Nothobranchius furzeri: one gene and its partner. The protein of the gene in region 2 interacts with the protein of the main gene of each other region in a biochemical or structural test. Links are inferred from orthologs where the notes say so. Each region holds a gene or a part of one and is shown on either strand. Other genes may lie near its edges.

Evidence for each region. The genes of interacting proteins can lie anywhere in the genome.
Region 1: the proteins of map3k5 (region 2) and calcium and integrin-binding protein 1 form a complex in vitro, tested with the Homo sapiens proteins (2 studies listed by BioGRID and IntAct). The link is inferred for Nothobranchius furzeri from reciprocal best matches to the Homo sapiens genes MAP3K5 and CIB1.

The regions. Positions count from the first base shown.
Region 1 is NC_091744.1:74,254,122-74,257,635, forward strand, and holds calcium and integrin-binding protein 1, read left to right. Parts: upstream 1-1,331; 5' UTR 1,332-1,543; coding exon 1,544-1,594; intron 1,595-1,837; coding exon 1,838-1,872; intron 1,873-1,967; coding exon 1,968-2,067; intron 2,068-2,178; coding exon 2,179-2,332; intron 2,333-2,413; coding exon 2,414-2,532; intron 2,533-2,639; coding exon 2,640-2,728; intron 2,729-2,811; coding exon 2,812-2,833; 3' UTR 2,834-3,003; downstream 3,004-3,514. Other genes in the region: RCC1 domain-containing protein 1, read right to left, coding at 3,132-3,298. UniProt on the Homo sapiens protein: Calcium-binding protein that plays a role in the regulation of numerous cellular processes, such as cell differentiation, cell division, cell proliferation, cell migration, thrombosis, angiogenesis, cardiac hypertrophy and apoptosis.
Region 2 is NC_091742.1:11,510,406-11,514,400, forward strand, and holds the start of map3k5 (mitogen-activated protein kinase kinase kinase 5), read right to left. Parts: upstream 2,802-3,995; 5' UTR 2,590-2,801; coding exon 2,166-2,589; intron 1-2,165. UniProt on the Homo sapiens protein: Serine/threonine kinase which acts as an essential component of the MAP kinase signal transduction pathway. Plays an important role in the cascades of cellular responses evoked by changes in the environment.

The DNA of each region.
Region 1 (3,514 bases), on a different chromosome or scaffold from region 2:
CTGATCTGCCTCGCTCAACTGTCTGTAGAGGATTCTGAAGACGTCTGGATATTCGTGGTGTTGGTGTCAGGTTTCGTGCTTTTTGGCCTGAGTGGTTACCTGACTTACCGGAAAATTAATGAGCTGTCGAGGAATATTGGCTCGCTCCCGGAGCTCAGGGATGGATTACACCACGCTGTGAACGCATAAACTCATATAATTGTCGAGATGAGTCGTAAGCTTGGAACTTTGGCTGAGATTCAGACTTTGGCACAGAAGGTGGATTTGATCAAGGAGAAAGTTGACGGATCAGCACGGATTGGGATAGATAAATTACGCCATTACTGGATTTAGAGGGGTTGAGGACCAACAGAACTTTAAGACAGAGAGGAAATGATCTCTGTCTGGCCCCAAAACAAGTTCTTATCTGAATCTGGTGTCCTTGAGCCTGTGAGGCTGAAGAGATTACTCCCCCTCAGAAGAAATGTGGAATGCTGCCATCGCCATGGTAACTCTGTCTCCCTATCCCAGCCTGGGCGGGACTGTGACCGGTGAAGGCCGTTGAATCGCTCTCTAAACCCAACTACCTCCCTCCCCTGTCCAAACAGAGGTGACGAGCGCTGTTTATCATGGCTGCATGCACTGATGTGTGGACAGTCCCCAACCCTACCTCCCCACCTAGTGGACACTTATGTTGTGTAATGTTTGAAGTCTGTTGCATTTCTGTCTGAGGTGTTTTTTACATAGCGAAGCTGCCCCCCTGTGGAGGGTAACTCTGAAGTGCCTTTTTTTTCCTCCACCTGACTCAATCCTTATATATAAACCCTCTGATCTCTATTAAAGTAGCACCACTCGGGTTGCGAATGACCACAGTCACCAATTCTTGTCATGTGTCTATGACTATGTATATATGTCTGATCTCAGAATTGTGTGAACTGAAACTCTAATGTCCCTCTGGGATTAATAAAGTATCTTTGAATTTGAATTGAATTGTCTTTCATAAGATGTTTTTTAAATACTAGTATGCACTGAGTAAAATTAGCATATTTTCTCACAGTGAATTACCTAAGAATTTTCATAAAGCTAAAAGGATAAATTATCAAGTTTTAAATAAAAATGAATGGCAAGTGCTTAAAATAATAAAAGTGCATGTTTTTTCTTTACAATTATAATAAAATTATAATGCACTGATATGAAGTATTTTTGGTTTTAGATAATTCAATAAAAAACAGACCATTTCTTAAAATAAATGCTCCAAAAGTTTTTAATATTTGACAAATAAATAGTTGTAACACCAGGGTTATCAGAGGAAAAGTAACTTAACGTGTGTGCTCCATGAAAGGGGCAAAAGAAATGTTTTTTTATTTTACGTCATTTCAGCGTTGGCATTACATGAACGCGCCCAAAGATACGGGAATGCGCCTGCACGAACCCGGAAGTAAGCAACAACAAACTAGCTTCGTCGCCGCTCACCGAGCAGCGGATTATTATTGACCACAGTGACATTTTAACAGTCTTTGCTTTCAAATATATAAGTCAAATATTTTAATCGAAAAAGTTTGAGATGGGAACTACAGCGAGTCAACTCGGAAAGGCTGACCTGTCAGAATACCAGGTAAGTGTTTATCGTGTTATTTGCTGTAGTCCAGCAAATGCTGAAAACTTAGTTTTACAGAGTATATTTATACTAATCACACTTATCAAAGGTTTTGAGATAAATACGAAATTAGTCAGAATTTCAGCCAGGATAAGAGCAGACGCTTGTTGCATAGAAGCTAAACGTTGGTAATGCTGATAGCTTTGAATCAGAAAGGGGCTTGTTTTGACTTGTACTCATCTACAGTACATCTGATTTTAGGAGCTGACTTTCCTGACTAAACAAGAAATTCTTCTGTAAGTTACAGGTTGTATGACAACTAAGAAAATGTAAACTATTCTTATAGATCATGGGATAGATGTCTGATTTATTCCTGTTTTTTCCTAATAAGTGCTCATAAGAGATTCACTGAGTTGCTCCCCAAAGAGGAAAAAAACTCAACAAATGCCAGAGTTCCAATGACAAAGATTCTCACGCTGCCTGAGCTGAAGGTAACAGGAAATTTCAGTAGAAGTGTGGCAACGTTTCTATTTATTGGTGTAATCTTTATAGAGGAAGTGGATGATCTAATAAAGTGAACTTTGAACTTGTTCTCGTCCTAGTCTAACCCTTTCAAGGAAAGAATCTGCCTGGTTTTCTCAACAACTAACCCAAACGATGGAAGCTTCAGCTTTGACGATTTCCTGGATTTTTTGAGTGCCTTCAGTGACTCGGCTACGTTGGAAATAAAATCCCACTATGCTTTCCGTATATTTGGTAAATGTTGATAAAACACGAGCTGGTCAGTTTTTTCTTAGCTGCACTGATCTTGTCTGATCATTAGCTTTATATTTTCAGACTTTGACAATGATGGGACCCTCAGCTGTGGCGATCTGGAGAAGCTGGTTGACTGCTTGACTTATGAGTCGGAAGACTCGCGTCTAACCACTGAGGAAATGAGACAGCTCATAACTAATGTGAGTTCACTTCGACTGTTTTTTTTCTCTCAAAGATGCAAGAAGCACACTCCAAAGAGATGCTCTGAGGCATCATCTGGGCACAAATGAATCTTGCTTTTGTTTAGATCCTTGAAGAGTCAGACATCGACAAGGATGGGACGGTGAATCTCTCGGAGTTTCAGCATGTCATTTCAAGATCTCCAGACTTTGTCAGGTGGTTTTCCCAAAATAATATCTGACACATAAATCTTGAGGAAATGTTTTCTAATCATCACAATTGTTTTTTTCCCCCCACAGTTCTTTCAAGATTGTGCTGTGAGGCCTTGGAAATGGCCAACTTTTAATTTTGTTTTTAGTGAAAAACTATACTTGCCTTTAAATTTTACTTACTTCTGGATTTTACTCTTATGATTTTATGAATTGTTTGTGAAATTTATATATATATATATATTTTATAACATCTTTAAAATAAAAGTTTAAGGTATTAGATTACTAAAGTTCTTCATTGACACAAATAATTTATTACAAAACATTTTCCACAGCGTAACTTTCTGATGTAATTTAGACTTCCTTGTACGCCGACCAAAGTCCAACGTGGGGGCAGATTCAGGGGATTGTCAGGTATTTTTGAGATCAAGTACTCCCTTCTTGACGGCGGCAGTAAAAGTGTTCCACGGCCCACACACCACATCGACAACATGCAGGTCCTTGGCCTTAAAAAACTCCACACGTCGCGGTTCGTCTAAACTGTTAAATGTCTGGTGTCCAAGTTGGCCGTATTCTCCTGGGGGACAAGAACAGAAAAAGAATAGCTTAATATTTGCTGATAATATATTAAATTTCAATTTGAGTTGATATCCTGTTGTAAGAATAGAACAACTTTATTGTCTGACACCAAGCGGTTACAGAAATTTGTCTTTAAGAGGGCTCATCGTCATCCACCTCATCATTCACACTTTCATAGAACAGTAAATACAATAAAAAATCATAAAAAACTAAA
Region 2 (3,995 bases):
TCTGCAGAAAAACTCAGAAAATCCCTGAATATGGGTTTAGCAGCAGGGACACGCATATAAATAGAACCGCATGTCCAAGGATTGCTGCATAAATCTCTAATTATATAAATCTGAGTAGAAAATTGTCTCACTGCAGTAAGCCAGCGAGTTGACGACAAGTAAAAGATGTAGATAAGAATAAAGTCCTCAGATATGTCAAATGTTTTGTTTTTCTTTTGGAGAACAGAACAAAGAAACGTGTGCATAAAACTGAAACATGAATGAACTGACTAAGACGATGGAGTCAAACTTTTGCTTCTTTATCTTGTTTTTTTTTATGGATCCGAGCCTGAAGACTTGTCCTTTTTTGTGCGCAGCATCATGTGAGGAGGCTGTTGGAGGACAACATGGAACGCCCTCTATTAGAATGTGTCAGAAGTCACAGCTCGTCCTCGGAGCTCATTGTTCTGTGCCCTCTCGTGCACATTTGCGTAGGAAAACGGATGAAGAAGTACAGCTAAAAGCAACTTTTCCGGGAAAATGCCTCGGCCCTCCCCGGTGCACCGGGAGTTCTGTAGTTCTGAGAAAGATGACAAAAGAACACGGGGAACTTATTGCACCTGGAACAGCAAGAAGCAACAAGCCCGTCAACTCGAAAAAGTAGCTAAATTTTTACGTTTCCTGCTATTCCTGCGTGAATCTCACCAGGATACAGAAACGAGCCTAGAACCTAAAAACAGCTTTAATTTACATGAAAGGGAACATTCATATTTACACCTTTTTCCTCTCTAAACACAGTTTTTTTTTAAATGGCACCAGCTTTAATTTATCTCTTGCATCTGCTCAGTTTTGACATTTAAAATGTCATTTACACCGAGGGGAACGCCGCCGCTACTTTATGACTCAAAAACAATAGTTTGTTTTAAAACTATCTAAAGAATTATTAGCCAAGCTCGCTGCAATAAAAAGTGTTTTTAATTGTGGCTTCATAATCAACACCCCAACATTATACCGCCCTGTTCTTCTTCTGCTGTGAATAATGCAGAAACACATAAGAGAACTAGACATGCATGTTTCCAATAAGCAGCTGTTATTCTATTTTTGCTGATTAAAAAAAATGTGCACATTTAAATATGGAAAAATCCCACAAGAATAGTGGAATTTATAAGAAAGAATGAGTCAATAAAGACCTATATGACTTTGAAAGTATAAATTATCCACTTATCATTTCTCCACACTTACAGGCTTATGTCATTATTGACGTTTGGATTTTCTGCTGACTGGAAGCCAGTTAGTTAATTTATCTTGAGAAATCAATTAAATTTTTTTACTGAGTCTCTAACAGCAAATCTTCCATTTTTGCATCATTCTTGGATACATTTAGCCAAACTGAAATAAATAAATGACTCAAGTGATTATTTTCTACCTCTTCAAAAGAAGAATCCTCAGATTTGTTGTAATTGTTCCAGGTAGGTGATTGCAATATTGGTCAACTGTTGCAGCAGTTGTGGCATTTCCCATCCTTAACAGACTTAATGGATTCATATATTTTGTTTTTAGAATAAAATAAATATCAGATTTTCCCCCTTTTGCCCTTCAGATAAAACTCCTGTAAGGGGAATTCTGTTGTAGGGAGAGGAGTTAAGCGTGTTTAGGCTGGGTTAGATAAAACTTCTGTTTTCTGGAATATTGAATGTGTTACTTTAATAGGATGTGTGGGTCGGAGCATTGGTTTTATCCTGGCTGTCTGCAGAAGGACCCTTGATTTTACGATGAACAACCGAGTCTGCAACGCTTTAGCATTTTATAATGCATCAGCTGCAGAGCCCCAAACTACAAATATATAAGCAAAAATACAATTAAATGCATGTATTGCATTGCAGTTGATAAAATGTTTATCAGATCATCTCTGGACTTCAGTTGAAAGTGACCCTGTGGATCTCTGAAGAAATAAAACCTCCACTTTTGTAAATGAAACAGGAAAAAACAGCCCTGAATGTTCATGTCTTCTGTTTGAGCTTAGACGACTTGCAAGCTTCATGTCCAGACATGCCGATCTGGGTGTGCGTGCGCGAGACGAACCCAGAGCAACGTGATTTACTGGAGATGAGGTGAGCACAGAGGAGATGTGACCTCAGACCCGTGCGTGACTGGAGGCCTTTAGGGACCCACAAATTTTGACTCACCTGCGTTGTAGAACCGGTCTAAAACTGTGGTCTCCCCAAAGTCCAGCCTCCCAAAGTTGACAGTGTCCAGTTTGCTGCCCACCCGGTCGCACGCGTCCTTCAGACACTGCAGGGCCATGCTCTCCGCGTTGTTCTGCGGGCTCGCCTCGCCGTTCACCACGTAAGCCACCGTCACCGGTCTGCTTTTACCGGGCTTACAGGTGGACAGCAACCCCCCGCCCTCCATTAGCTCATCCCCGGAGGTGGGACTGACCCTGCTGCCTGGGAGCAGCGGGTCCTGCCAGAAAGTCCCGGCTGCTGGGATCCCGGGAGCGCCGCCGCCTCCTCCAGCGCCGGTGCTGCTGGGATGTTCCCCGCTGACGGTCTCTCTGCCGGAACAAAAGCTGGGAACCGGGAATGAGATTCCGTCCTGGTCTAGATTCATCTCGTTTCAAGTGTCAGTTAAAGAGTTGATCGCAGTGAGCGGCTCCTCCAGCAGTCCTCCATGGAGAGGCGGCGTTACGCACGGAGCTTCTGCGCAAACACGACATGCGACTGAGCGTTTCCACGCGGGTAAACAGCCTGCTAGAGGCGGCAGGGGCGCAGCTCCGCGTCAGGCTGCATGTTTCTGTTTGATGACGCCGAAAATCAACCGAAGTCAGTCACAACAACAAAGCGAAGGAGGAGAGGAAAGCGCAGCGAAATCCGCGCCACATTCCGCCTCAGCTCGACAGATTCCTGCGCTCCTCTCTCCCACAGCACTTCTCAAAGTTAGGCAGCGGAGCAGCAACGCCCACAGGAATCACCAACGTCACAGCGAGTCGAAGTTGGAGCTGCGCTACGTCATCTTTTATAAGAGACAGAGAGAGCGTGCGCATGCACTGACAGGCGCCTCGAATTTGCGGGCACACCCTGCCCGTTTCTGCTGTTATCTCTCCGAGCAGACCCACGCACTGGGCGGGCAGACAGCTGTAGGAGCTGGGTGGAGGCTCGAAGCTGCTTCAGGACACCAGAACAAGCGCACCTTCTAAAACCCATCAAGTTTCACACCAGAGCTTCATGAAAATGTCATTTAACATTCTCCCTCTCCTGATAATAACTTTTTGCTTTCCTTGACGTTGGATGTGCTACTACTAGTTTATCCGTTTAATTATAGATCCACTAGGATACATACAATAAAGTTTATCTCTCACCAAATAGAATATTTACTAAGACATCACAATATAACTATAGACACATTACTTTGTGTGTGTGTGTGTGTGTGTGTGTGTGCGTGCGTGCGTGTGTGTGTGTGTGTGTGTGTGTGTGTGTGTGTGTGTGTGTGCGTGTGTGTGTGTGTGTGTGTGTGTGTGTGTGTGTGTGTGTGTGTGTGTGTGTGTGTGTGTGTGACTGCTCTATCTTCTCGATCCCCAGTGAGTCATAGAGGATGGCTGCTTATACTGAGCCAGGATTCTCTGAAGGTTTCTTCCTGTTAAAAGGGAGTTTTCCTCTCCACTGTTGCTGCATGCTTGCTTAGAGGATTGCTGTATAGTCACTGACACTAGTCAGTGACTTGATGCAATTTTCTGGGTTCCTTATATAGGAAACATTATTTCTGATTGGCTTAATGAACTGACCTGAATTGGAATGTTTATTATGTGAAGTGCCATGAGACGACTCTTGTCGTGATTTGGCGCTATATAAATAAAATTGAATTGAATTGAACTGAAAATAAATCTAGTCCCTTACTGTTTTCCCCCCCTCCGTTTGAAACTTTCTCTGTTGTTGCACAGCAACGTAATGCCATCGCCCAGGCCCTATTCCAGGCAGGAAGCCCATTATCAGTTCCGGCTCGTGTGTAAAACCTGTAGA